Linked DNA regions of Drosophila melanogaster. The protein of the gene in region 1 interacts with the protein of each later gene in a pairwise test. Each region holds a gene or a part of one and is shown in the gene's direction. Other genes may lie near its edges. The genes, in order: SuUR, Sbp2, Paris and CG7006.

Region 1 (6,835 bases):
AGAAATGCGCGCCAAATAAAAATTCAAATCTGGATCTAGTACTAGTTTTTATTAATTACTTTATTTAATATTAATCTGCGTATTTATTGAGCCCAAGGGAGCACACCCAATGCACATTTGGGCCAATCGGTATCTGGAAATAGCATTTACAGTAAGAGCGATAATTGATTAATTTTCAAATCACATAAATGCAAAGCCAAATCAAAACTTACGCTTGTCTAATTTCCAAACTCCCCAGTCTGATGTATGCTCTTTGCTTTGAGCTGCTTGTTCCAAAAATCGTTCCAAACGGTCTAGATTGTTGCTCTCCTCTGAAGAGCTATCTTCTTCCATAGCTTCCTCTTCATAAAATTCTTCAAGCTGTGCATCGCAGAGTTTAGTTAAATCCTCAATTTGCGTCTTGGTGTATGGAGGATCTGCGAGCGGTAATAATCTAAGAAAATGTCAATCTTATTAATCCAAAAGCAAGTAAACCCAAAAAAAAATGTATACCTACCCTTTTAGAATGGGCGCTGAGTAATTGCTAAATGCATCAACACGCTGCATAATAAAATCACGATCAAAAATCAAAGACCTGGACTTTTTGGGATTGTCGCCAAAAATAAGGGTAACCGAGAGATCGGCATTTGAGTGTACTAACAGACTGCGCATTGTCTTAGAAATTTTATCCGTGTTTAGGGTGGCAAAGTCCGCTGGTTTTAGTTTATCGTTCTGGAAAATAAAGAATATTTTAGTGTTTTCATCGTTAACACACTCCGTATTTATACTAACCAAATCCAGTTCGGCTTTGTACATGCGCTTCATACGGAACAGCATCCCAAATGTTTCCAACATTTTCTTTGCCCAGTAGCTGGCTCCCAGACGCCTTTGCTCCGACTCGTTTTGGTTTTCACTCAGTTGAACTAGGGCCAAAAAAACCTTCTCGATATATCCCTGCACGGCCAATAGACGGAAGAGTCCCTGTGTGGCTGCAATGATGACATCCTCGTTGTCGTCGATTTCCAAGCCAACGCCAAGGAAGTATTTCATTTTAAGCAGGCATTTTGTATATATGTCCAGCAGATCCTTCATCGATGATGACTCCTTTTTGACCAACGCACTTAGATCACCTAACACAGCACTCAGAATTTCTTTCGATGTCTTCGCCTTCTTGCTGGAGGAGTAGACTCGTATCTTATTGAATTCACCACTGGATTTTAGCTTGCTAATGGCCTTTAGTTTCTCAGCCCCCTTGATATGGCACTCCAGGGTTAGATCGTAGATCTCCAGAAGATCTGTCACAGCCTTTTCAAACTTAAGCTTGTCCTTGCGATGCAGTTTGCCAGCATCCAAATTGGACATGGTTTCCATGTGTGGCAACCAGTAGTAGGTGCGCAGCCACTCCAGACAATGATTCGAGGTGTTTCTCAGCACCTCCACAGGCGGCAGCTCCTGTCCATGGGCGCACAAGTGGCGCAGATCAACGATGAACGACTGGAGGCCCAGTTCCTTGGCCGTTTCATACATGCTGGACATGTTGTGTCCCTGGATAATGGAGGACATAAAGTTGTAGAATCGTGTAAAGGCACTGGCATAGGTGTCCTGTATTTTGGCGCTGCCCTCCTGGTCCTCCAAGTGCGCCTGAACAAGCACCGATGTGGCCAAAACCGCTGCCGGGCAGAGACTTCCTCTTCGCAGACACCAAATGCGGATTTTACTGAGCGCTTGACGCCATGTGGCTGGTGTGTTGGACTTGCCAAACAACCATTTGTACGTTGTATTAAATTCCAGCCTGAAAATGTAATGTTTTTATCAACGGATTGGATTTGTTTCCACTTTTTGTCTACGCACGTGTCTCGCCAAGGAGTGACCACAGTTCGTTGTTTTACATTTGGTGGCGGTGTGACAGGAACAACTTTGGCTTTCTGCTGTTTTCCCTTTTCAGGGCTTTTCTTTTTTGCCTCAAATTTTTCCTTCTTTGCAACAGCCATGGCAATTTGGTCTGAATAAATTTAAACAAATTCCATGCGAAACAAACCGCAAACGAAATCACAACAGTTGCAACAGTGATGAGCTAAATGCAGCTATAAAAATGAATTCCTTACACAAGTTTTGAGTTGGCAGAATAAATAATTTAATTTAAAAACATTTTACTCGCCAAAGGTTTCCAACCTAATGTATTTTACTAATCCTTGTCGGTTCAGTAAGTTTTTTTTAATATTTTGCTATTAATCAAGAGCAGTATCTCTTTTGGCTATTTCTAGACATTGCTTCGTTTGCCAACACTACCAACGTCCAACAGCTGATCGCGCCAACAAGACGCAGCCGGTTCTGTGTGAATGGTGAAATAGAATTGGAGCCAAAAATAATATTTTCTTCTTGTTCGATTGTTAAGCCTTTTCCCGCGCCCCCGCCATGACTAACAGCGCTTAACCCAATTTCCCAAAAGGGACGAAAATTGTCCTCCGAAAAAATTGAAGCTTAACTAGTTTCAACACATGTACGAGATCCAACATCCTGTTATCATCAACAACAACTACAACGTGGTGGACATACTGCATCCGGAGAATATCGAATTCGATGGGCCGTCTGCGGCGCGAAAGATGATAATTGGTTCATTTTCGATGTTCGTGATCTTCTCGTACCTGCAACTATTCTACATCCTGGTTGCCATCTATCTGGCCCTGCATCACGCACACCATTGATTCGAATTCTCTGAAGGATCATGTATCACTTTGTATCCGAGCAAACGCCGGAGGTGCGGCTCACAGATGAGGCACTGGTCACGAGCCACGTGACGCAGTACCTCAAGAGCTTTCAACTGGATGCCGTCCGCTTCGTCTACGATCGTTTGGCTAAGCGGGAATTCTGCATCCTGAATGATGAGAGTGGCCTTGGAAAGGTCGCTACGGTGGCGGCACTTCTAAGTGCCCTACCACCCGCCAAAAAAACACTTGTGGTGCTCCAGAACGATGAGCAACTGCTCACCGGTTGGCGATTCCATTTGGACACTCTCACTGACCTCCAGGTGTACATCATTCAGGGGGTGCAAGGTAATGCCTAATATTTAAATGGATTTGTTGATAAGAATGTTATCGTAATTTCACATTATTGCCATTTAAAAATTAAACTTCAACACCTTCACTTTCTGCCTTTACAGATACCACCGACTCCCCGCACAGCGTTTACCTGGCGAAATGGAGCCAACTACGGAGCATTGGAGATCTCAGTCGCCTCAAGTTCGACTACATTATGGTGGATAATCGGGGGCATTCGCTGAACAACAGCTTTTGCACTTCCATGCTGCTGAAGCAATTCGAGGGACGGGTAAACGTTCTTATCTCCAGTGTTGACGTTACGGTGAGGCAATGCATTCATAATATGGTTTATATCATTTTAGCTTATGTGGTTTCTCTCTCTCTGCAGTCCGACGTTAGGTTGCTCTACAATGTTCTACGGTTGGGCGGCCGACTGGAGCATCAGTACAAAAGCTTTGCGAGCTTCGATCGAAAATTCCATCTGCCAGATCCGAAGGAGGTATTCAGTAAGCGCATAGATCTCGAGGAATACTACAAGCAGCGGGGATTCCTCAGCGAGTACATCAAGTAGGTGAACCAGCAACGATCAGTTTCACTGTTGCATAAGACCGGAATAGTCAGTTGCATATGAAAATAACTTATATAATTTGTAGGGACTTTCGTCTGCGTCGTTTTCGTCATCAATTCGACAAGTCACTGCCACTTGTCGCACCGGAGCAATACAAACACAATCTGAATCTCTGGTTGGCCTCAAAGAACAGCCAGAGCACAATAAGCGGCTCAGATGTGTGCTCTACAATCGCTTCCATAGACAACAATCCGGCTCAGCAAAATAAAACTGGGCTCTTTGAAGAAACGGATAGGTTATCCGAGCACAGCGTGGATGATGTGGCAATGTCACCGCTGATATTCGAGTATTCCGAGTCTGACGATGAACCCCTAACAGTAGAACCTGATGCAGATCAAAACCCGGTATTAGTTGTATCCAGCGATGATTGTGAGATTGTAACACCTCCAAGTACTCCGCAAAATCGAACGCCCTCATTAAATGAATCACCAAGGACGAAATCAAAGAAAAAATTTAGCAAAAAAACGTCACCGCGCAAAAAAGCTGATCTCACCGATTCCGAAGAGGATGATGAAGCGACCGATAATATGCCGCCAAGGAAGAGAACTCGTGCAGCCACCGTTCATCTGACACCTAAGACAAGGAGACTCAATGTTCGAATTTTAAGGGTTTCCCTCGATACTCTGAGCACACCACCACCGTCCAGAACCACTACTGCGATCGTAACGCCCAAAACGGAGCCCACAGCTAGAAGAAAAAATCTGAAAAAGCGCACGGTGAGCCCAGTGGATGTGGGTCGTCCAGCCACAAGGGGAATGCAGCGCCTAACACGATCCGCTGAAACAAAAATAAACAGTAAGTACTTGAAACATCGCTCATTGGATGATGTCAAGCGTAGCTTTCCAAGGAGAGTCAAGTTGGAGGGTAACCAAACGCCCAGAAGTAGCAAACAAATAGTGAAGCAGGAGCCTAAGTCTAAAGTCGGGCAGGAAAAGAAACAGAAGACGGTGGATGTACCTGCTCAAGGAACTGCGAAACGAAAGCCTGGACGTCCGAGAAAATGCCAAACCAAGACTGAAGATTTGGGGAAGACAAAGACTAAGCCGAATTCAAAGCACTTGCCACCTACTCCTCAAGTTCTCAGTGGTAGCTCGTTGTCCTCGGAGTACATGCAATGTGCTCAGCGAATACCAGACAATTTGGATGCCATTGAGTCGCCCGCTTTTCGTGTGCCCTTTACACCTCAACAAACTCCAATGCTTCTAACCTTGCCGTCTACACACAATTTGCTCAACGATTCTGAGGTGGTGTCTATTCCGCTTTACAAAGATCCAGTTGAGACAGTGGTGATCAATAGCTCGCACGATGAGTGTTCTCCGCAGGATCCATCGCAGAGTCGTCGCACCAAGGCTTTGAAAAGAAAACGCAAACCCGTGACGTCCGTCAATTCAAGTTTCGGCGGCGGATTGGGTCTACCACCGGCCAAGAGGAGTGCCAACAAATCTCCAGATCTATTTAGCATATCCTCGGAACACTCGCAGATTCCGCTGGCGCAACCAAGACCCTCATCGCCCTTCGAAGGCTTTAAGATCTTTGGCTCTGAGGTGAAGCAGTTTCAGCAGCAGCTAGCGAAAGTAAATATATCGGTGCCAAAAAAGAAGCGAGATCGCTCGTGTTTGGATATCCTGGAGCAAATGTTCGAGCCACGACAACAGCAGTCGGCTAAAACTAGTCCCAAAGTCTTGCCAACCTTGCCACTGACCCAGAAGGATGATGCAGAGTCTACCATTACGCAGAGAAGAAGAACCCTGCTGGAAGATGACTTCTTTGAGATAACGAACAATGGCCAATTTGGCAGTCGCATGCGATTGAACTCCTCTGGCGAAGTATCGCCCGTGCAACCGGATCAACAGTCCGTCAGGCCGTCGCAGGCCAATAAAATCACCAATTATTTGATAGGTTCTGGAATTACGCAGGAGCGAACGCAACCTTCGAATGGTAATCGCAATTCCATTCTTGCATCGCTGCGCAAGTCACCCAAATCTCCCAAACAGGGTGCTAAATCCACTCAGGCCACGAAACTAACACGCTGGTTTGGCTCCGTCTTCGGCGGTGGAGCCTCACAGACCAGCTCCGTGGAATCGGTTAGTGCACCAAGTACGCCGGTGAATTCATCCACAAGTGCAGCAGCTTGTCAAACGCGATCGGCGAGAAGTGGTGGAGCATCAGGACCGACCAAAAGAAAGCGATTGGAACTGTTCAAGTGATGAACAGCAATCAATGAAAATGACAAAAACCAAATCAAATCAAATCCAATTATTGAATATATAATGAATGAAGGAATATATAACATATAGTACGAAATCAAAAGTTAACAGCATCCAAATATGAGGTTGTAAAATCAAATTGCACAGGACCGTCTAGCTAATTTAGTTAAAATTATACTTTGTGTGCGCATTTTGAAGAGTAAGGTTACCATAAAATTGAAAAGACACTGCATAATATTGTATGCGTATCTTGTAAGTAGATATAATTGGTAAATTATTAGTTCACAAGTTTATCTAGTTTCTCAATTCATTTTCCAAAATGTGCCACCTGATTTAGACGTGTTTTTTTTTTTTTAAATTATTTCAATACGCATTCAAAGTGTATTCAACAATTTTAAAGTAACGAAAGATATCGTTTTTAGAAGCAAGTACCGTGTAATTTTGTATCATCGTTAAATAAACACAGGGTTTACATTTAAAAACAAAGTATTGTGTGTGTTTTTTTTTTATTAGGAATTAAGATTATTGGTAGGTAAGTCAATTAGTTGTTTGCACATATGATTTAAATTTGAACTAGATCCTGGTATGCTATCCTCTCTGTTTTCCGAATATTATCGTTAAGTTGTGCATCACCGCCTGGCGCTGGAACTCCAGTTCCCGCCTACACATGCCGCCCAAGAGTGGTGGACACTGATACTGGATGTTCTCCTGGGCAAAGGTATCACCATTGGAGTTTCTGAACGTGAATTCACTCAGTGATTGTACTGCAATAGAGATTCATTTACGATTAGCGAGGGCATTCATATCACTTCCGTCTTATCTTACGGCAATAGAATCCGGCAAAGAAGCAAGTCTGATGCGTGGACTTAATGGCATAGGCCACGGGCGATACTCCGGGTAATGACTTGGTGACCACGTACTTGGCCGTAGCCGTATTCAGCCAGTATGGCCAATGGGATAGTCGCTCTGTGTACTGCACCGTG
Region 2 (7,598 bases), 2.8 Mb from region 1:
GGAATCGATAGTGCTGCTATCGATAACTGCGGGCAGTGTGGGGAAGAAAGTAAAGCTTAATGAGACCGTAACCATTTAGTGCTTAACAACGTTTCTTTTGCATTTCCAAAACAAGTTATTTTTGAATATTGAACCTATTTAAAGAATTATTTTCAAATTTAAAATTTAGATTTAGTCATTACTTATAAATTATTATTATTAACAACACTACCGACGTTACCAGTGTGGCCATCCTCGCGGCAAACATCTGTTCACGGCGGTTGCTGTTGTGTTGTTCTTAACATCTAATTAGCTTCCCACCGGTTGCAATGAAAATAATTTTGAGCCTGCTGCTCCTGGCTCTCTCTATCGCTCAGTTGGACGCCTCAAGGTCAGCCACATCCGACCAGGCTCCCATTGTCGAGTGTCCCGGACGCAGTGTTCCCCAGCTCCGTGCGGAAGCGTCAGAGTCAGAGATCTCGCTGCTATTTTACTACGTGTCCTGGGCCAGCGAAGCACGGCAGGCACGACTGGTCTACAATGGACTGGCCCACTATTACCAGGAGTATGGCTTCTTTGGAGCCATCGATTGCTGGCACTTGCAGTGCAATTGCAGCCGTACTTTGATGCCGGCACCAGGAGTCGCCGGCGCAGGAGGTTATCCTGACAAATGGCCCACGCTGATCGTGCGCTACGGCCAAAAGCAGTTACTCCAGTACCAGGGCTCGTGGAGCTTTGAAGATCTCGCCCGGTTCATGAATAACCTGCTTCAGCCACTGGACCGGGCACACAGTAGTCAGGATCTCGCCGCCATTCGGAAGCACTCGGATGCGGTGGTTTTGGGTCTGCTTGACTCGCCAGACGACAAGGCCTACAATCTTTACTTGGCTGCCGGTCTGCGCTGGCTGGAACTGGATCCGGAGAGGAATATCCGCTTCACCGTGTACTTTGGCAACAGTGCCAGGAAGATGTTGAAGTCCTCGGAGGCCAAGCTGCCCCAGTTTGTAGTTATCGACAGCCGAAATGGAGTTCATACGTTTAATGGTACATCTGGAGTATGGAAGACCATCGACATTCTGCGCTGGGTACGGAGCACACTCAAAAATATGTCGCTGTTCTCCAATGGCTATGGCACTCCTATGACCATCGCCATGAAGGCACGACATGTCCCCGTGCTGGCTATGGGAGTTCGAATGAACCAATATCACCATGCTAGCGTCATGGGCGAGGAGATGGCTTACGCTCAAAAAAAGCAGTCGGAGGGGTGCGAAGACTACTGGAAAAAATTCGATAAACAATCTGAAGACATATCCTCCTCCCTAAATCAAGTTCCCAAGGAGCTGTTTGGGGATGGTGAACAAACCCGGACATGTTACCCGGCCTGGAGTAAAAACAAGACCACACTTAAGAACTATTATCGGATTAATAGGTATCTAAACCACCTATGGAGGCAGTACTCGCACCAGAACCATCCGAGTTATCGAAACGTCCCCCACTTGCTGCGGCTTCACTCCAGAAACCTTTGCCTGGCACACTCACAGCATGGAACGCCGGCCATAAAAATCGGCATTGCCAAAATGGTAACCAAATATGGCCAGCTCATTTGGCAGCACTCGACGGAGCGCGCAGCCCACAATCGGTCGCTGGGCGTGGTGATCTTCGATTCTGTGAAATATAGAGACTATCTACACCAGCTTGGCATTCAGCAAACCCATCAGCAGGTGCAGGTTTTCATCTTGGATGCGGCTGAAGAGTCACTGTATGTTATGCCACAGCAACACACATTCTCCTACGTAGCTCTTAAAGATTTTATACGGCAGTTTTACGCCAGAACATTGCCAAGGACTCACAAAAATGCTCTTGCCATGATGGAATCTGGGTTCAGTAGAAAATACAATAGACAGATGCTGTTGCAGGCAATCCAGCGACCAAATGTCACCAATGTGGTATTTATGCATCGTCCTGACTGCGCTCTGTCAGCCGTTCTATCCCAAGCATTTCTGCAGGTTTCGGCGCTGCTCGGCAGCCCCGAGGTGCACTTTGTACGCTTCGATAGCCAGGCTAATGATCTGCCCTGGGAGTTGGCCATGCCAACCACGCCGTCTCTAATTGTCTTCCCCCAGGCAAAGAGCGCGGAATCCGTGGTTTTCCCAACCGATGTGCGGATTGATGTGCAAAACGTTTTTGCATTTGTGATCGCCCAATTGGAGCCGGAGCAGCAGGTGCGTTCGGTCTTGACCAGCTGCAGGCGGCGGATGCGTAACGTTAGGAGCTGTCTTGACTTTGCCCGCAACCTGGTACTCCAGCACGTTAACCAATATCTCAAATTCTGGGATATCTATGAACGGGAGCGGGACGACATCCTTTCGCACCTAAGGGAGTTCAACAACTTGCACATGTCCATCGAAAGCAGCATTCGATTATAGCGAAATCCCCCTGAAATATAACTTTAGTTAAAAGTTACCGTTGATATTTCCTGTAGATCGTAAGGCTAAAGTTGTCTCTTCATAAGATATTTAACACTCATAGTTGTATAAATATACATACATATAAACAAAGGGTAAATCAATTTTTTTTCGTAGCTTTATTTTTAAACAAAGTTCAGGGACAATGTAAACAATCAAATGTGCGGCCGAAATGACTTTTGATTCAACTTCTTTTTTCTTCCACTAAAGTTCTGTTACTCAGCAAGATATGTGCTTATTCAGCCTCGGATATAATCGAATATTTGTTCTGCGCCCTTGTGAATGAGCCAAATGTGTGCATGTACGCTTTTTCCTTTCTGCAAATGGCATGAAAAAGGCTCGGTATTGTTTTGAAATTAAATTCTTCTTAATTTGGAATATTGAATAGTTGGGCCACATGATGGTAGCTACCACCGCATGTCTGAGCAATACAAAGCTTTCTTAGCAGAGTGCTTGCGTTTTCTAGACATATCTTGATTTCATTTTGATTCATACGATTGAATACATTATGATCCTTAGCCAAAAAGAACTCCAGTCTACGAGCGCGTAGATGATCCACCAAATGACTCCACATCTCAACCAATAGGGTGCCCAGGTCTCTTTCCCAGTCAGCACTTTCGAGGCGATGAAGCAAAACTGTTTTCAACATGTAGCTGGACAAGTGAGGCAATTTCCTGGCGTGGGCATCCCGCAATCCTTTCATCAGCCGTAGAACGTTCTTCAAATTATCCTTGCCCTTCATAATTTCGCGCTCCCAATGTGGTGCACAAACCATGAATGTGGTTCTCGGTTTAGCCGACTTCTTCTTCTGTTGCGGAATGGCGAACCATGGCCAATTATTGCTAACATCAGCAGGAACCGGGCAAATATCAAACGGCCATTGGCTTCCAGAGAATTCGAATGCTGGTACCAAATCAAAAGATATCGAGCGACTACCACAAACGGCTAAAATGGTATGGGCACAACCATACCCCTCAAGAGTATAGGTTAATTTGTAGACTCGATTACTGGTAGTGGCAATTGTCTGATTAGACCTGAATACCTTGCGGAATGCATTGCGTAGCCAGTCTTGAAGTACAATACGATGGATGCGTTGGGGATTGATTACGGTGAGATCAGCCTCTAAATAAATAAACCCTTGGTCGATCCGAGTCGGTCGGATATCAAATGGAAACTTTAGTTTCATGTGCAGATCAAATTCATCGGGCAAATTTAGCTTGACGCGATCCAAGTAACTTCCTAAAAGATACGTGTACATATATTTTTAGGTACATAATGTACATACATAACGATGAATTTACGAAAGTACAACATTTCTTGCAAAAATGATAAAACAAAATAAAGCAAGAGATATCAATTGTAATTGTATAGCGTTGGATTATCTCGACTTACATTTGTATTACTTCCGTCAATTTACACTTTTATTAAAAATAATATTGAATGCATTAGAAAATCGACCAGACAATGTCTTGTAACTAACATTATTCTATTTATTTGTTTTGTTTTTATATAGAAATATATGTAGAATATATGTAGAATATATGTAGATATTTAAAATTAAATAACTTACCTCCAAGACTGAGTCCGTCGAATACCTGGCGAAAGGTTTTGTCTACCCGCTTAAGTTCGTCAACTACATAGTTTTGAATTTCCTCGGCTTCCTTGGTATATACGGCCCTTTCATTGTCAGAGATTGACAATTTCTCAAGAATTCTTTGAAAATGATTAGCGGTACTCATTTTTTCACAGAAGCCTAACGTTGAACTTCCAAATCAAAACTTTTAGGAACGAATGAGGCCGCATTTGCTGCGGTTCTTGATTTTATTAATTACGTTGTTGTACCGCGCTGATTCTTCGCATTCATGTGTGGTGAAAAAGCGATTTCACCATTTACCGCGACGACCAACACTATTTTAGAGATGCACTAAGAATCCACAATAAATGACTGAAAAAATAAGGAGGAGCAGGAATCAGGATGTCCAGGATACAGCGATCAAGATTACTCCACGCAGCTCCAAGTACAAAAACCAGCACAGGAAACGGGAGCAGCAAACCTCTCTTCTGGACTTTGTCATCAAGCCGAGACCAAAAACACAAAGGCAAACAAAGGCACATAAACTTCAAAAGACACATTTAGCCATAACAAGAGGTAGCTACATAGTTTACAAACCCAAGGGCAAAACCCGCCTTGATCCCAAGAAGAAGATCACCAGGTTGAAGAAGTCCGTACGTGTATATCGCACTTCAAAGAAGGCGGAGAGAGAAGTCGCAGAGAATGATCTTGAAGGAGTCCCAGTAGTTGGTCAAGATATCAATCCGAATGCTATTCCGCTGGAGCAACAAGTTCAAAACCTATCACTTAGTAAAACCCCTGCACCCAACAACCCTTCACAAGCAAAAACAGTACATGCCATTCACTCACGGCGATTTAGAAGGTTTGATTACACTGGTTGTACCTTCTTTAAACGTTGAAATATCATGTTTGATCTCTTCCAGCTATTGTGACAACTGCACCCGTCCTCGCCTCAAGGAGTTGTCCACTCAGTTGTTAAGGGACCTGGATCGATTTCAGAAGCGCGCCTTTGCCAAAAACGAGATTAAAGCGCGTGCACATCCCCGCCTGGTTTTGGGTGTTCGAGAAGCTCTGGCGAGGCTAAGGATAAACAAGGTGAAATTGTTGTTCCTGGCCACTGACTGCGAAATCTGCCCCGGCGAAAGTGAGTAATCGAATTGTTCGCAAATCAGCCATTAATAATATCCGCTTAAAAAGGTGGTCTAGATGCGACTATAGAAGGCTTGAAATTCCAATGCCAGCAGCAACAAGTGCCCTATTGCTTTCCTCTGCTGAGAAGGGAGCTTTCTTATGCCCTCCAAAAGCGAGCGCAAATTTGTTGCGTTGCTATCCTTGACTTTGACGGAGCGAATGCAACCTACGCAGATCTTCTTAATGAAATAGAGGATGCCCGTGCGGAGTACAAACGCAGAACTGCTTCGTGAGAGTTTATTTCGTGACAAATAAATATAAGTAAAAGTGCCAGGAGGACGTGCTCGAAACATCGAATAAAACATTCAAGAAAACAAAGTTTAGACCGCCGGTGTCATGGTCGTGGTGACGAAATCACGCAGCGTGGAGCTAATATTATCCATATCGGTGGCGGCACCAACCAAGCCGGCGGTGTCATTAAGCGAGTTGAACGTCTGTATAGCCTCTTTGGCCTGCTGGGCGGCCAAATTGAACTGAATCAGGATGATCAGGTAGCTAGTGATCCCGCCACTCACACCATACAATGTTTCCATGTCCAGGGTAAAGAAGCCGCAAGCCGAAAAGTCCACCGAGTGGTTGAGCAATTTTAGCGATAGGTGGTTAACAATTTCGTAGAGAAGATTATCATCGGCCACCACGCCACATTTGTGCAGACTGATTCCTGTGCGCTTGGAGGCCTGCGACGTTTTCCAACTCAGGTAGATGAGGTACACGCATTTTCCAGACGTATAACTTAGAACTATAACAGTGATGAAGGGATTCTTGGCGGAACGGAAAAGCGATGGTATCGATTGGTACTGTGTAGCGCAGTAGAGGAAATAAAGTTGAGCAGTGAAAATCAGAAAACCATAGGCCATTAGAGATAGAATGGGATAGCTCCACAGCTCGTTCAAAGCTTTTCCGATTTCACAGATCTCGTCGTGCACCTGGCACAGGTTGTTTAGTTTCTCCTCTACCTTAGCGGCATTTCCCAGCTCGCTTTCATGGACCATGTTAGTGGCCAGGGGAGGCGGTGGAGGCTTCCTGCTGGCCGCATCAATTGCTTCACCAAAGGAGTTCATGGAGTGGGCCACTGGTGCTACTTTGTTTTTCCCCGAACCAGACACTGAACTCTTGCCAATGGAACCTATGTCCATACCTCCTAGTTCCTTGTACAGATACTCCAGGTTGCTGTCATACTGAGGCGGCTGGGAGCTGTCCAGAGGAGGCGGAACCTCTTGATTGCCTCGCAGCCACAGCTTATGCTTCTCGTGCGTGTCCACCAGTTCCTCTAGGGTGGCGTTTATGGCCTCGAAGCGTTCTTTCAACGCATATAACGAAACAGCGAACCAGATCTTGTCTAGCGTGTTGATGAACGTGGGAATGGCGGACACTATCCATAACAAGGACATCCATTGACTATAGTCCACCAGCTTGACATAGGTGCTCACCAAAATGGACAACTCAAAGATGACCGTCATGATCAGCATAATTCGTATGCGCCGTCCAATTGTACTGTTGTCCATAACACACCCCTCTTTGTAAAGGCGCTCATCCACCAGACGGATGCGCTCGTAAAGCTCTCCAATTCTACCCTGGTTTCGTAACGCGGTCAACTGGTCGGAGACCATCATAATCAGACCGATATAGGTCAGGAACAAGCCAATCACGAAAGTCAAGGTGCCTGGGAAGAATGAATAACATGGTTATGAGTTTGCACCTTTCAAGGCGGATGGTTAACTGACTCTGCGAGGCCTTTAGGCTGCGGTCCTCCTCTCCAAAGGAATATATCAAAATATTATAGAGCACAACGTAGAGTATTAAAGTACTCAGCATGTAAATCATGCCATTACGGGATTTCTCCAGCAGATTCCTAGATCGAAACTTCTCGAGATCCTGTGGCAGAATTCCAGCTATCTTGGATATGAAGAACAGTTGCTGGAACTGCTGCAATAGTGGTTGCACTGCGTCCTCCGCCTGCGCCATGTTGTCCATTGAACACTACAGCTTTGAATAACCGATTCCCACTAACATCAAGTTATTACCTGCAGAGTGCACTTAGCCTAATTAATTGACCCCTCCGCCCCTAATCGATACTATCAACATGGTCTATCTACTGCGCCATGTTTGGGACAAGAAACGCGGATGAGCTTACTTCTTGTGGTGTTTATTAAATGGAAAAATTTCATGGGTTTTATATTGGATATATATGTCTGTAAATTTAAAGCCAAATGTACACGGCATTATTAATATTCAATGCGAATAATTTTCTAGAATGAGAAATCTGCCTCCAAAATCCGTGTCAGATGTTTTTCTTGTGGTGGCTGTTACACATAAAAGTTTATTTAGTTTTGTTCTGGCGGCGTTCATTCTGTTTTCGCTCCTCCTGCAAATAATTAAGAGCATTACTG
Region 3 (7,516 bases), on another chromosome or scaffold:
GTAAGGGAGAGCAGAAAAGAAACGTGTTTTCATTGAGCATTCCTCAATCATTTTCACCCACGTGCTGGAGGTTATGTTTACTTGCTCCAGTCGCTATGCTCACTTGGCCATTGCAGTCAGTGGGCAGGCATGCTGCGGCACTTTGAGTGAGCTCTTATTTCTATTCCACATCATTCGCCTGCCCACAAACCACATTTTAGGTGCACCACATTTACCGACGTCCACTCACCATCTTTAAAATTGTAGGAAAGAAAGAAGCGAAGTTGGCTGCGGTTGTAGCAGTGTGACCGCCCGGCGGCGATAACAAAAAATACGAAATACCATCCGGACAGAAAACATATACCCCTAACTACCATTTTAGTCTGAAAAAATATCTCGTACACACCATTATATTTAAGATAAATTTAAGTCTATATGCATTATGAAAATATATAATCATGAATAATTAAACATAATACTGCATATATAAGCGTTAAATTGAATTTCACTACAACAATACTAAATAAGTTTTTACATTCATAGGATAAAACGTGTACTTGATTTAAGCGAAATTCTGTAGGCAGTGCCTATACCGTCATGTGCATAATTTTATAATTTCTTATAGATGATTATGGCTTATTATTAAAGTTCATTTTACAGTTCAATAGCGTTCGGCTTGGCTAAAAAAGGGGGAAGTGTAGTTTTTGTTTTTGAAGTTCGCAATGTAAAAAGTTTTGCGAAATTAATAATCGAAAATGTTGCATTGATATCTGGCTATTAACTGGATTTCTTTTCAAATTCGGGGCGTGTATTCGATAGTTGGTTCAGAGCATTGCTAAATACAGTGCTGTATAACGGTCGTGCTGGCATGTAAATATAACAGGTGCTGTTAAGCACATCGATGTTAATTGCCAAAAATTCAAATATTCACATTTCCATTTGGTTTAAATTTTGTATTTAACAATCTAGATTTCCTCCACTAGACGAAATCGCTGATGCTGATTTTCGGGCACAACATTGAAGAACTTCTTGTAGATGTTCTGGCCCTGGCGACCGGCGTAGTTCCGCTGAATCCAGGTGTGGTCCCAGTTGGGATCGATGGCCTCGCAGGTCACATAAACCTTGCCGTGCTCCATGGCGAAAAGGGTTCCATTGCGGCCAAAGCCCACCTTTCAATGGGAAAAAGTATAAAAATATGCCGGGATAACTCCTTCCTGCGCTACTCACATTCAGGCCCGGATGAAAGCGCGTTGTGAGCTGGGTGGCCAGTATTGTGCCCTCGGAGACGTGGTGCCCATCCTGGACGCGCCATCCGCGATGTTTGGGCCTCGCATGGCCCTTCTTATTCCTCGTACTTCCGCCGGTTTTCTTGCTGGCATTGCGCACGGTGGCTAAATGGGATTGAATTGATTAGAATATGCAACCGGTTCGTGGGAAGTCCTTACTCATCAGCGGCTGGTCTGCCTTCAGGCACTGCATGGTCAGCTTTTGCATGATATTAAACGACATATTTGTGATTTTATTCCAGTAGCGAGGTTTGTTTATGCAATTCCAGATGGGCACCAGTGTGACCCCCGAGTTCAGCTAGATCAAGAGCATTAACAGACTGTTGGCCACTGTTGCCAATTGGTGTTAATAAAATCTAGCTTTGTAAATATATATCAAATAAATCTACGTTTGTATTTTCAACAGTATTATTTATGCTTAAATAAACTATCGTCTTAGTCATTAATATATCTGTCACGTGTTTAGCTAATAATAATTAATATTCAAAAAATTTGCTGTAATCCTGTTATAGCTAACTGGACATCACTGCCGCAAGTGGGTGGACTGTTGAGTTTTGAACCTTCAGTGGTAGGGCAACACTCGCCGGAGTGTTGAAAATTGTCATTGTTTATTTTTTCCGGCATAAGCATTAAGTTTAAGGTTTGCCATAAGTATGACGTCGTGGGGCAATATCTGCCGCATCTGCAGCAGCCCCGCAGACTACGAGATATTCGCCAAGATTCCCACGTATTTGCACGGCTCCACAAACGAGTTTCTCAACTGGCAAAAGCCCATAAACGTTCTGCTGGAGGAGACGACGGGCCTGAAAGTAAGTGACTCCATTCTAAAGTAGCCAGATAAATGTTTATATGAGTGCCTCCTCTTTCGACCGACCGCAGAACTCCACGGACGACGGACTGCCACGCAACATATGTGCGCCGTGCATCTCCTATCTCAAGCATGCCGTCACATTCCGGGAACAGTGCATCAAGAACGCGCTGAGTCTCAAGCTGGCGGAGCTCTACCAGCAGAAGAGGGTCAACGTTTCGGATGCGAACAAGATGGACAAGGAGAGCGCCCTCTTCACGGCGGAGGATCTGAATTATGTGGAGCAGAGGCCAGTGCATAATCTTCTGCTAAACAACAGCGCCAACAAACTGGAGTCATCCAAGGACAAGGTACACAAGCGACTGCTCAATCAGACGACTACCCAGCTAGACGGCAATGCTGAGCAGAAGATCCAGTACTTAAACGTGCTGTTCAACAAGCAGCAGCCTCACAACAGCATGCCCAGGCAACCGCGGGATGGCGAACTGCCATCGAGCAGTGGCCAAAATGACGACGAAGATGACGACTATGCGGTGGCCAGTTCCAGCGACGACAACGAGGAGGCGGCCCTGCTGCGCAAGCACAAGAACTGCTATAACTACACCGAGACCAACTTCGAGGAGGACGATCCCATGGAGCAGGATCAGCTGCAGCTGCGCGACATCAAAGTGAACATACCGGAGCCCATGTGGAAGGAGCGCAAGTGTCCGGCATGCTCCAAACGCTTCATGTTCGAGGACTCGCATCAGTCGCATCTGGACAACTGCGTCGAATACCAGTTCGTCACGTTTGTTACCGAGGTGACCAAGTTGCTCGAGATTAGGCGACAGAAAATGGTCTCGCCGCACGAGTTCATCCGCCGCATGATATTCGCTCTGCACAAAACTTGCGCCTGGCTGCAGGAACATTCCATAGACTCGCTTCTGGCCGAGAAGCTCAATCAGGTGAAGGTGTCCAACGGTGAGAAGATAGCTGAGCCGCCAATTCCCATAGATATACCCGATCCCCGGCCGGTGCAGGAACCATCTCTATTCGACTGTGCCAGCGGAACGACGACTCCGATCACGGAGGAGAACAACGTGCTGTACGCCATTGAGCGCTCTGAAAGTTGCCATTCCCAGGGCACGCCGACGGTGAAAAAACCCATTCCCATTCGCGGAAAGGCGGCGCTGGGAATCGGGCTGGACAAGCACAGGGAGAGAGCCACGTTCCTCGAGAAGCTGCAACGGGCCGCTGTCTCTCCTGGCACAGTTTCGCAGGGTCCAGCGCCCGTTTTCTCAGCCCGCTGCGGGCAGTGCAATTTAGAATTTGACTCAGTCTCCGAACTGGAGGTGCACAACCACAATGCCCACAGGGGCAATGAACTGAACGCCGACGACGAAGCCAAAAGGCGTCAAATAATCGCCCTCTTCGAGGATGATATTTAGGTTTTACAAAGTCCTGTTTTTCATGCCGGTGGCTCAATCAAACTAGTAATCATGTTGACCACTTTGCATCTGTGTTTTTGTCGTATTGTATTTATTTATTATTTATTTATTTTATTCTGTTTCCATTAGTGATTTAGTTTTGCTTAGCGGCAATCCATGTTCATTTACAATACATTCTCGAGTACTCAAAAGTCCGTGGCTTTATATTTATATGTACTCTAAGACCAATAAAGAGATTTGCAAGACTTATTCTTAACCATAAGCCTATGCGTATATTTGCAAGCTATTCAGTACCAGGTTGGAATCTGCTACCTTCAAGTGCAGACAGTTCTTGAGCAAGCGCATCGCGTCCAGGTTGAGATCTGGATCTCGCAGAGCGAAGAGCTGGTTTAGGGTTTGCACAAGATTCTGCGGGTCTGCCAGTGCGAATATTAGACTTGTGTCACCTAGGGCTACCAGATTGGTCATTACACGCACGGCGTAGATTAGGCACAGCCGGTCGGCTGGCGATGCTAAGGTGGCTTCAAAGAAACGCACCAGGCATTCGGCCTGTTGAGCATCTAACTTGTGCTCCTGTGTCACTATTTCCAGTTGGTGCACTATGTACATGAAGTACTCGCTGGCAGGCTGGCCGTGGAGCTTCTCAGGCAGATTCTGGCCAATGTACCTTCGATCCTCGTCACTCACATGCTGCGGGCAGCGGGTGGCCACCAGGGAGAGGCAGATGGCCGCATCTTCTTGGCAGCCATTGGGCTCGATGTAGAGCCTCCACAGCTTGGGTACTATTTGCATTTGCAGCAATACGCTGCCGGCCTTGTCGCATGTGCCCAGAACGTTGGCCAGTGTCCACAGGCAACTGCGCTTGAGGCGTTCGGCCTTGCCATCAAGGTAGGTGACCATGTAGCTGCCCGCCAAAGTGACAATCTTTTCGGAGACATGGGCCTCGCCCAAGGAAAGATTACACAAGCACTCCACGGCATCTGTCTGTCGTTGAATGTGAGGTCCTGAAAGTCAAGTCAACCTTTTTATATAAAACTAAAGCTAATGAGGGTGCAGTTGGTTACCAGTTAGCTCCTTAACCAGAACCTGAATGGCGCCAGGAATAGCTGCGAATGCATTGATGTTGTCATTGCTCTGGAGGAACCCCAGCGACAAGCGGCACAGATCCTCGGAGGTGGCGTGCTTGCGACGCTTGATCCTGCTGGCCATTCCAATGACGTCCTTGGTGCCCATCTCAAGAGCCGCCACTTCCTGCTTAACCTGTCCAAGTCCAATGCGCAATGAGTCTTTCGCCTTTATGCGGCACTCAACACGGTGATCCTTGGCATATGCACGAATCTTGTTTCGCAGAAAACTTCCCTCCCCAGTTGTCGTCACAAAGTCCATTTGTTTAAATTTCATGGAATCCTTAGCAAGTGAGCAATATTCCGATAATAATAACAGATTATCGATAACTATGAAAGGTTAACAGCACTTCACTCATCAGCTGTTAAAATTGTAAACAAAAAAGGTACGCACTTGTTTGTTTATATTTTATTTGGAGTAAGTAATGCTTATTTAATTTCAGGTCAATGGTGGTAATCTGAGCCCGGAATCGATGGATAAACATATTCAGTGGCACCCAGGAACCCGATTTTTCATATGTGAATTTATTTTTATACTGGCAAAGAAGTTCGGCGAGGAGATTCATTTCCTTTTTGTGCCTTTTTAATTTAATTTTTCTATGATTTCCACGGAAAAAGTCCAGTGCTCCTTCTGTCCAAAATTATTCACCACTAGCTAGGCGAAAATGTGAAAAAACTATACGAAGATAAATGTTTGTTTTTCCAAAGAAATTTATTTCAATTTTATATTCTTCAACAGGTAAAGGATATCGATATCCGATAAGAATTTTCCCATCAAAACTTGGGCTGACCACCACAGGGCGACCCTTGCAAGTTTGCGTTTATCTCAGCTGTTAAATATGGTAAACACACCTTAGTTTCAAAAATCATCATTTTGATAAATAATTTGAATTTCGAACATCGATAATAAATCGATTTAGCATATGGCCCAGAGAATAGGGTGCCCAGTGTACTGTGCACAATGTGAAGTTTAGCTTATTATTATTTTGAATTGTTCATCAAGGCAATCGCATTAATTTTCAATTAATTGGGATGTATGAAACGGATTCCTAAATTATAAAAGATTGCTTTTCCAGCTATAAGCTATTTAGTATATACATCAGGTAAGTAATATAGTCCTTCATAAAGTTCAGCCTAATAAGTATTGTTTATTACAGGGATAATGGCGGAAATATGCCGAGTTTGTATGGATATTTCTGGTAAACTCGTTAACATATTTGACGCCAGACGAAGAACCAGAGTTTCCATTGCCGAGATGATCGCGCAGTGCACCGGATTCGAGGTCAAACGTGGCGATTTGTTTTCGGAAATGATATGCCCACAGTGCTATGAGGACGTAAAGAGCGCGTATGGGATAAGGCAAACTTGTGAGGAAAGCCACCAGTTCTACTGCCGAGTTCGCGATGAAGGCATCGAGGATGCTTTATGCGCCTTGCTCGAAGAAGAAGACTGGGAGATTTCGGAAGACGAAGATGCGCGGATTGATTCTGCATCCGCTGCTGATGACGATGGGAAAAGCGACAGCAAGAAGGTAGCATTCGAATGTCGAGAATGCCACAAGAAATACCAGCGAAAGGGAACTTTTCTGAGGCACATGCGAACACACATGGACGGACAATCCTTCCCATGCCCCTACTGCAAGCGGAACTTTAGACTTAGAGTCACTCTCAAGGCGCACATGAAGACCCACAATGCAGCGAAACCCTACGAGTGTTCCCACTGCGCCAAGACCTTTGCGCAGCAGTCCACTCTGCAGTCGCATGAGCGAACTCACACTGGCGAACGACCATTCAAGTGTTCACAGTGCTCAAAAACCTTTATTAAATCATCCGATCTCCGGCGTCACATCCGCACACATGGCAGCGAGAGACCGTTCAAGTGCTCCAAGTGCACGAAAACATTTACGAGGAAGTTTCACCTTGATAACCATTTCCGTTCTCACACTGGTGAACGACCATTCAAGTGTTCCCACTGCCCCAAGGCCTTCGCTATGAAGCAGCACCTCAAGCAGCACAGCCGCCTGCACTTACCAGATCGTCCATTTCGCTGCTCCCACTGTCCCAAGACTTTTCGGCTGAGCAGCACTCTCAAGGAGCACAAGCTCGTACACAACGCTGAAAGAACATTTAAGTGTCCTCACTGTGCCAGTTTCTATAAGCAGAGAAAAACACTTGCTAGACATATCCTCGAGATACACAAGTGACCACTACTTTAAAAACACTTGGAAGACATATCTTCCATGTGCACTACTTTAAAATGGACAAAAATGATTTTGCTAGATGATAAAATAAGCTAACATATTCATAGGTATTGTAAGAATAAGGCATAAAATTGGTTGGTAATGAATATGCCTATTTTGATATGTTTTATGATGGAATAAAATGTTATTTATATTTGATTGAACCAAAACAAAATTAATTAATCGACTCCCTCTCACGCTGCCAACACTGGCCATTTCTCGCATATCCAACTACAGATGATGATCAGCTGTTTGTTGTTTATGTGGGAGCGGCCTGAGAAATTGTAACAAAAAAATTTCGGAAAAGCTGAAAAAATGAACAATGATAATCCGAATATAGTTTTCAATCCCCTGATAAGCTCCATCCAAAAAGTAGTGCTCTATGAGACACGAGCGGTAAGAAATCACCTCCAGCTGACCTTTTTTTGACTAATCACATATATCGCCATAATTTCAGCGCCTCTATTTGGTGGGCAGCAACAATCGGGAGACTCGGTTTCGCCTCCTGACCATAGACCGACTTGCCCACAACCGGCTGAGTATCGAGGAGAATGCCAACGAGTTTAACAGCCTGGAGATCCGACGTTTTGTCGCTTCCCTTTCGGGTTCGCCCAAGGTGACGTCCGCTTATGGCGTCCTTGGATTTGTGCGCT
Region 4 (6,961 bases), on another chromosome or scaffold:
GCCCAAACCAAAACAAATAAGACAAAGGGAAACGCCCTCGGATGTAAAATACTTTCGGTGTGAGAAGCGCCAGCTTGTTTGACATCATCCAAAATTAGCAGACGACTTCGGCAGCTGGAGAATCCCCCCAAGATCACCGTCTGCCATCATCGTTGAGGTCCCCGTATAAAACCAGTTACCGGCATCTTGACGTGTACACTCATTAAAAATTATGCTATTTTGCCAGCTGACTGATACGCGTAGTATTCAAGTCATTTGACTGCGATTAGGAAACGAAATGCACAACGGAGAAGGCAGAACGAAAAATACCCAAACATTGAGTGGTTTCAAAACGTGGAAGGCAGTTAGAGCTCTTAAAGATCGACTACGGGAATACCTCATAGAAAGTTTGAGTACTTCGTTTTTAGGTAAATCACCCTTTCATTTTATAGTTATCTCTTGGTAACCGCAAACCTTAAGTATTTTTATATTTCATTATAACATATTATTAGATATAAGATGTCATATAAGCTTTTTAAATAGTTGGTATGAAATATAGCACCGTCGCTTGCTTTGCCAATTTTGATCTTGGCCGGGCTATAAAGACAGTGATATTTATGGGCTTTTAACACTAACAGCACGTTTCAATTAATTTAAATAATTCCATTTGTCACAGCATCAGCTGTCTAGGAAGTTTTTTGCGATATTCGCTTGAATTTCGATGTTCATCTTGAACTTCAACATAACTTCAATCAGCATAAATATAGAAAGTTTGCGATCGGCAACTAAGGTTACAATCAATGCATTTCAAAATAATTTGTTCAAAGCGTTAAGACACCATTGATTTCCATAGAAACACAATACGACCCCAAGCTGTGCATTTAAATATTTATTTACCCATGACATTTTTTGGTCTCACCTTTTGTTTGGTTAGCAAAGGGTCTATACGTTTATAAAGTGTCAAGTTCATTTGGAAATATTCAGAATACTTGCACTACTATTTGTGGAATGAGCTGGGGCTCCGATTTTGTTACTTCCTTTAATCCAAACAAATATAGCATTTTATAATGATGTCTGGTACGGAGATGATGATATTAATACAAGTCAGCGCGCCGAAGGCAGATCAATTAGCCTTGTCGCGAACTCATTGATAAGGCAATATCTCATTAAGCGTACCTAAAAATATGTTAATGTTAATGGCATTTAAGAGATGCTCGATAACGCGGAGGATAAAACCCAAAAACAGGCAAAACTACTCCATTTGGTAGCAGCATGGGGTGCAGGCATCCGAATGCAAGATCAAAATGCAACATTTGGGCAGTGTCTCTTCGTCTGCAGTCAGTCGTGTTTGTGGCCAAATCTGGTTTTTCTGAGATCTTAGCACCTGACTGCCAGTGGTAACCCCCGGCGACTAGAAACCTCCGAAAGACAACAAAAGATTATAATGACAAAAAAAAAAAAAAAAACAGAAGCATCTACCTGCTGCTGCAATGAATGGAAATTTTCTCCCTAAAAAAAGTCCCGGGTATTAATACACTCGGTTCGGGTCCAAAAATCAGGGTAACTTTCCACTCATTTGTTCCAAAATATCACAGATACCCGATACATAAATACACAACGAACAACGGGCTCACGTGTTGAGCGAATGCTCCCTAAAATGCCGAGCCAGCCAAATAATTACGGACTAATACGAAAAGAATTTACAACTTCCTTTCTTCTCTTTTCTGTACTAATTTTTTAACTTTTTTTCTTCGATTTTCGTTTTGCTGCTCAATGGTTTTTTTTTTTTGTTTTTGTTTTTGGGCAGTAAGTGCTCATAAGACAAAAAACGAAACACGCGATGGGAACTTCGCTTTATCGTAGTTTTCCTACATTTTCCCCCTCGTCGGATTATCAGCTTCACAGGGCAACCCGCATATCGTCGATCGTCCCGGTTTCCCAAAACAATAATAATAATAATAATAACAAGCCAGATTCCAGACCCGAAACCCACCAACGACCCGACTCAACGCGACTCGAAAATAGTTAACAACAAACGGAGCGACGAAGATGACGAGAACAACAAAGTTTTGAATTTTATAAAAGACAAGGTTCGCATCAAGTACAAAACAGTTTCGTTCGAAACGCTGCCGTGTGAAGAGCCAAGCGACCAGAACCGATCGTTCGAACAACGGGCATCTTTCAGATACTATCCAAATACCCGACTTGGCACTTAGATTTAGTGTCACCTGGTGCCATCCGCCGGCAATTATAACTCAAGCCAACTTGTGTTTTGTGGGCAGTGTTTGTTTGTTTGTTTTGATCAGAGCTGCTGTTGCCACCCCCGCTCCAAAGATGAAATCCAATCCGGCCTCGGATCACGTCTACTTCAACGACGGATTCAAGTGCTCCACGATCAGCATCAGCACCAATCTCACCGAACCCAATGGGAGCAGCAACAGCGTGGGATCCCAGGGATCCAAGGAGTTTATACGTGAGTCTAAAGTATTAAGACATTTAGCCAACTATTGGGAGTGATTATGAAACCAAATAGAGGAGTTAAATTAAATATAGTAATTTGCTGCCGTAAAATCAATCACATTGTATTTGTAATAAATTTTAGATGAGTTCGTGTAGAATGATCTTTTAATAAGTAATAAAATAGCTTGACGGGACTAACAAAAGCCAAATACAAACTGTACACATTTAATAGTCTAGCAATTGCAATTGATTTATTGTAATTTTTTTTTTTTTACGAATTACCAAACATTAAAATTGTGACTCAAATAGCTTTAGCAATTTTGGCTATTAGCTGGTGAATTATGAACTACAAAATCAAATTAAATTAATTATTTTGTAGGAACAAGTTAATGAGCTTTCGGAGTCACGAGAGCTGCCCATTTAAGTACTATTACCTAAGCTCTTTAGTTTGGAAGCAACTTATGCCACAAGTTACAGATTGATTTCATAGTTAGTTATTTCCCTGTTAGTTGCAATTAAAGTAATGGAATTCAGCGAATGTTTCTGGCAAGAAAAACGTTGCATCAAGTATACGCCTCGTGCTCCCCGCTCGGAGATACTCGTAAATGCAATTGTTTTCCACGTTTTCTCAGCTACAAAACTTTTGCTTTGGCCTTGACAATGAAATTCACGTAGATCAGAATGAAAACCAAAAGCAATTAAAATAGCAGAAAGCAAACTGAAACTAAATGGAAGGGTGGGAACCAGCAAAAACTCGATCGAGCGTGGGGTTCTGCAGTACGTGCTAATGAATCAGTGCTGTTTTAGCCATTTCATCGAATCTCTCTTGATTTCCGACATATCTTTTGCAGTCACTGAAGACGGCAAGAAGGTGAAGCCAACAGTGAGCACACTGGACTGCACACGCAGTTGGCTGCAGGATTGCCAGCGGCGCACCTTCAATCGCAAGACCCTGCACAAGAGACTCCCGATCCTCGGATGGCTCCCCAAGTACAACAGCCAGGATGCTGTGGGCGACCTGGTGGCGGGCATCACAGTTGGTCTCACCGTCATACCACAGGCACTGGCCTATGCGGGAATAGCAGGACTGCCCGTAGCCGTAAGTAGCACATACATATATAAATATTACTTACAAGTATAAATTGTAATCGACATGTTCCTTTGGGCAGTATGGCTTGTATGCCTCCTTTGTGGGCTGCTTTGTGTACATATTCCTGGGCAGCTGCAAGGATGTACCCATGGGGCCATCTGCGATTGTGGCCCTGCTTACTTATCAGGCTGCTCAAGGATCTTGGCAGAAATCGGTGTTGCTCTGCCTGCTCAGTGGAATTGTGGAGCTGCTGATGGGCCTCTTCGGACTGGGCTTCCTGATTGACTTCGTCTCCGGACCAGTTTCCTCGGGCTTCACCTCCGCCGTCTCGCTGATCATCCTCACCTCGCAGATCCAAAGTGTGCTGGGCATCACGGCCAAGGGCAACACCTTCGTGGAGATCTGGACGCAAGTCTTCCACAACATCGAGCACACAAGGGCAGGAGACACGGTACTAGGGCTAACCTGCATTGTCATCCTGCTGTTGATGCGCAGTCTGTCTTCCTGTCGAATTGGACCAGTCGACGAGAAGGAATGCTCATCCTTCCAGCGGGCTGTGAACAAGATCCTTTGGATCGTGGGTACTGCTCGAAATGCCATTCTGGTGGTCGTTTGCTGCATCATGGGCTATATGCTCCACACCGAGGAGCACGGAGCTCCGTTTCGAGTGGTGGGAGAGATACCACCCGGGCTCCCCAGCATCCAGTTGCCACCCACATCGTTGACTGCCAATGAAACCAGCAATGGAGTGGCCGAGGGATTCGTGGAAATGGTTCACAGCATGGGTTCCGGCTTGGTGGTGATTCCCTTGATCTCGCTCATGGAAAACATAGCCATCTGCAAAGCGTTTGGTGAGTCTTAAGCTCTATCTTTCCCTATATGGTTCCCTATAATAATAGTTGATCCTTTCAGCCAATGGCAAGCCAGTGGATGCCTCGCAGGAATTGATTGCCATTGGAACGGCCAACATCTTCAACTCTTTTGTCCAAGCCTTTCCGGGCACTGGAGCCCTTAGTCGTGGAGCAGTCAATAATGCCAGTGGTGTCCGTACTCCCCTGAGCAATATTTACTCCGGTGGCCTGGTCATGATTGCCCTGCTCTTCCTCACGCCCTACTTCTACTTCATTCCACGCCCTACCCTGGCAGCCATCATTATATCCGCCGTGGTCTTCATGATTGAAGTAAAGGTGGTCAAGCCCATGTGGAGATCGAAGAGTAAGTCATACAAAATATGGAGATAGTGGTCATTTGTTCATCTCACTTTAATAACCCATTAGAAAGTGATCTGGTGCCTGGAGTTGGAACCTTTGTGGCCTGCCTTGTCTTGCCGCTGGAGTGGGGCATCCTCATTGGAGTGGGACTCAATGTCATCTTTATCCTCTACCATGCTGCGCGTCCCAAGCTGAGCACCGAGCTACTGACCACACAGTCGGGTGTGGAGTACTCAATGATCACGCCAGATCGATGCCTGATCTTCCCGTCTGTGGATTATGTGAGGAATCTGGTCAACAAGCAGTCCATTAGGCAAAATGTCCCAGTGGTCATAGATGCGTCGCATGTCTACGGGGCTGACTTCACAACGGCCACGGTTATAGACTCGCTGATCAGTGATTTCAATCAGCGAGGACAACTGCTCTTCTTCTACAACCTCAAACCGAGTATCTGCTCCATTTTCGAGCACGTGTCGGCGGCCCAGTTCGTGGTCTACTACCAGGAGCAGCAGTTGGATGAGCTGCTCAAGGAGCGCAACTATGTGCAGAAGCGGCTCGAGACGGCCTAACTGGCTTATTCTCCTCAACACGTGATACAAATAATTTAGCCTAAGTGTTTGCTTTAATTATTTATGGCGTTGTAAATAGATTGTAAACTAATTGTGTAGTATTATCCAGAGCACACAACTATTAGAAATTGTAAGGTGAACAAATAAGTGTATTTCTTAATTACGTAATAATAACAAACAAAAATAATTTATCTTGTTTATTTCATGAAAGAGTAAAAGTCAGTGAGATTGGTTAACTCAAATCAATTAAAACTATTATTCAGTTTTGTTTATCAGATATATTTGATTTTGAATTTAAATACTTGGGCAATATACAACACTTGATAATGGCGCTATACAGCACTCTTAAGCTATCGATAAAAGCTATAGATAGACCGATATATTCAGTGCTGTTAGCCGTCCCTACTCAACACTGAAACATTTCTCACGTGTAAAGTTGAGCAGTTTGTTTTCCTCTTTTTTCCGCTTAATTTAACTTAAAATGAAACGCCTGAGCGACGAACGTGCCAAGATCTTGTTCGAGCACCTGTCCAAATAGTGAGTACCCAAAACAGATCATCGCAATGCAGCTAACAAGTGCTCTTACAGCATTGGCACAAATGTGAAGCATTTGATTGACCGGCCAGATGGAACATATTGCTTTCGGGAGCACAAGGATCGGGTCTACTACGTCTCGGAGCGGATTTTGAAGCTGAGCGAGTGCTTCGGCTACAAGCAGCTGGTGTGCGTGGGCACCTGCTTCGGCAAGTTCTCCAAGACCAACAAACTGAAGTTCCATATCACGGCCCTCTACTACTTGGCGCCCTACGCCCAGTACAAGGTGTGGGTGAAGCCCTCCTTCGAGCAGCAGTTTCTCTACGGCAACCACATACCCAAAACAGGACTGGGTCGCATCACGGAGAACGCCGGCCAGTACCAGGGCGTGGTGGTCTACTCCATGAACGACCTGCCTCTGGGCTTCGGCGTACTGGCGCGTTCCACAACGGACTGCAAGACCGCCGATCCCATGACCACCGTATGCTTTCATCAGTCGGATATCGGCGAATATATTCGCGCCGAGGACACGCTCTTTTAGATCCATAGATGCTAAGTTTTTACATGTTTTGTAGCAATAACCATGTTTAGGTAAATAATAAGTATGCTGAAAAACGGATAAACTGCTTTTGATTTTATATTTTTAATGTTAATACTGATAATAATAATAATTGATAATAAAACTTACACTACATTTCATAAATTATTATTAAAAAAAAAAATTTTAAATAGTGAGCCAATATTTTGTGGTATATTTTATGCAAGGTATTTTTTGAGTTTGAAATAGTATATACCCGCATTTTCAATGCCAATGGTATTTTGTACCGAAACGGTCACACGCAACACTGCAATTTCTGGACGCGATTTCGTGGGAATCTTCGATGGAAATGCGTCTGAATGCGGCTTCCATATGGCTGTTAATACTGTCGTATGGAGCAACTATTGGTAATAATCAGGACGAAAACAAAGTGGAGCTTCCAGTAGCGACCGGCGTCGAAAACCCGCACGCCCACTTTTTAATATAGGCCAAATAACCTGAGTCATCTAACCCGAACTTTCTTTGTCCACAGCTCAAGGAGAAAGAACCCGCGATAAGATGTACGAGCCCATTGGAGGAG

Evidence for each region.
Region 2: the proteins of SuUR (region 1) and Sbp2 interact in a two-hybrid assay, tested with the Drosophila melanogaster proteins (one study listed by BioGRID).
Region 3: the proteins of SuUR (region 1) and Paris interact in a two-hybrid assay, tested with the Drosophila melanogaster proteins (one study listed by BioGRID).
Region 4: the proteins of SuUR (region 1) and CG7006 interact in a two-hybrid assay, tested with the Drosophila melanogaster proteins (one study listed by BioGRID).

What each region holds. Positions count from the first base shown.
Region 1 is NT_037436.4:11,062,691-11,069,525, forward strand, and holds SuUR (suppressor of Under-Replication), read left to right. Parts: upstream 1-2,300; 5' UTR 2,301-2,477; coding exon of another isoform or gene 2,478-2,684; 5' UTR 2,685-2,704; coding exon 2,705-3,032; intron 3,033-3,139; coding exon 3,140-3,339; intron 3,340-3,405; coding exon 3,406-3,584; intron 3,585-3,670; coding exon 3,671-5,852; 3' UTR 5,853-6,335; downstream 6,336-6,835. Other genes in the region: CG32075 (uncharacterized protein), read right to left, coding at 84-133, 213-433, 497-711, 772-1,771, 1,831-1,970; CG45101 (uncharacterized protein), read left to right, coding at 2,478-2,684; CG6310 (uncharacterized protein), read right to left, coding at 6,441-6,616, 6,678-6,835.
Region 2 is NT_037436.4:8,299,808-8,307,405, forward strand, and holds Sbp2 (SECIS-binding protein 2), read left to right. Parts: upstream 1-4,349; 5' UTR 4,350-4,385; coding exon 4,386-4,879; intron 4,880-4,940; coding exon 4,941-5,161; intron 5,162-5,214; coding exon 5,215-5,441; 3' UTR 5,442-5,518; downstream 5,519-7,598. Other genes in the region: CG13671 (uncharacterized protein), read left to right, coding at 309-2,405; CG7194 (uncharacterized protein), read right to left, coding at 2,812-3,683, 4,015-4,183; Gr66a (gustatory receptor 66a), read right to left, coding at 5,529-6,871, 6,933-7,173; BI-1 (Bax Inhibitor-1), read right to left, coding at 7,529-7,573.
Region 3 is NT_033779.5:4,458,060-4,465,575, forward strand, and holds Paris (parkin interacting substrate), read left to right. Parts: upstream 1-5,551; 5' UTR 5,552-5,727; intron 5,728-5,781; 5' UTR 5,782-5,786; coding exon 5,787-6,827; 3' UTR 6,828-7,016; downstream 7,017-7,516. Other genes in the region: RpL27A (ribosomal protein L27A), read right to left, coding at 230-232; mRpL27 (mitochondrial ribosomal protein L27), read right to left, coding at 945-1,148, 1,207-1,370, 1,425-1,473; CG15435 (uncharacterized protein), read left to right, coding at 1,919-2,074, 2,145-3,500; CG15443 (uncharacterized protein), read right to left, coding at 3,765-4,504, 4,565-4,901; FIG4 phosphoinositide 5-phosphatase, read left to right, coding at 7,179-7,259, 7,321-7,516.
Region 4 is NT_033777.3:24,844,925-24,851,885, forward strand, and holds CG7006 (uncharacterized protein), read left to right. Parts: upstream 1-5,702; 5' UTR 5,703-5,790; coding exon 5,791-5,846; intron 5,847-5,897; coding exon 5,898-6,384; 3' UTR 6,385-6,461; downstream 6,462-6,961. Other genes in the region: Esp (epidermal stripes and patches), read left to right, coding at 2,314-2,452, 3,291-3,538, 3,609-4,380, 4,442-4,744, 4,807-5,309; Nct (nicastrin), read left to right, coding at 6,725-6,788, 6,914-6,961.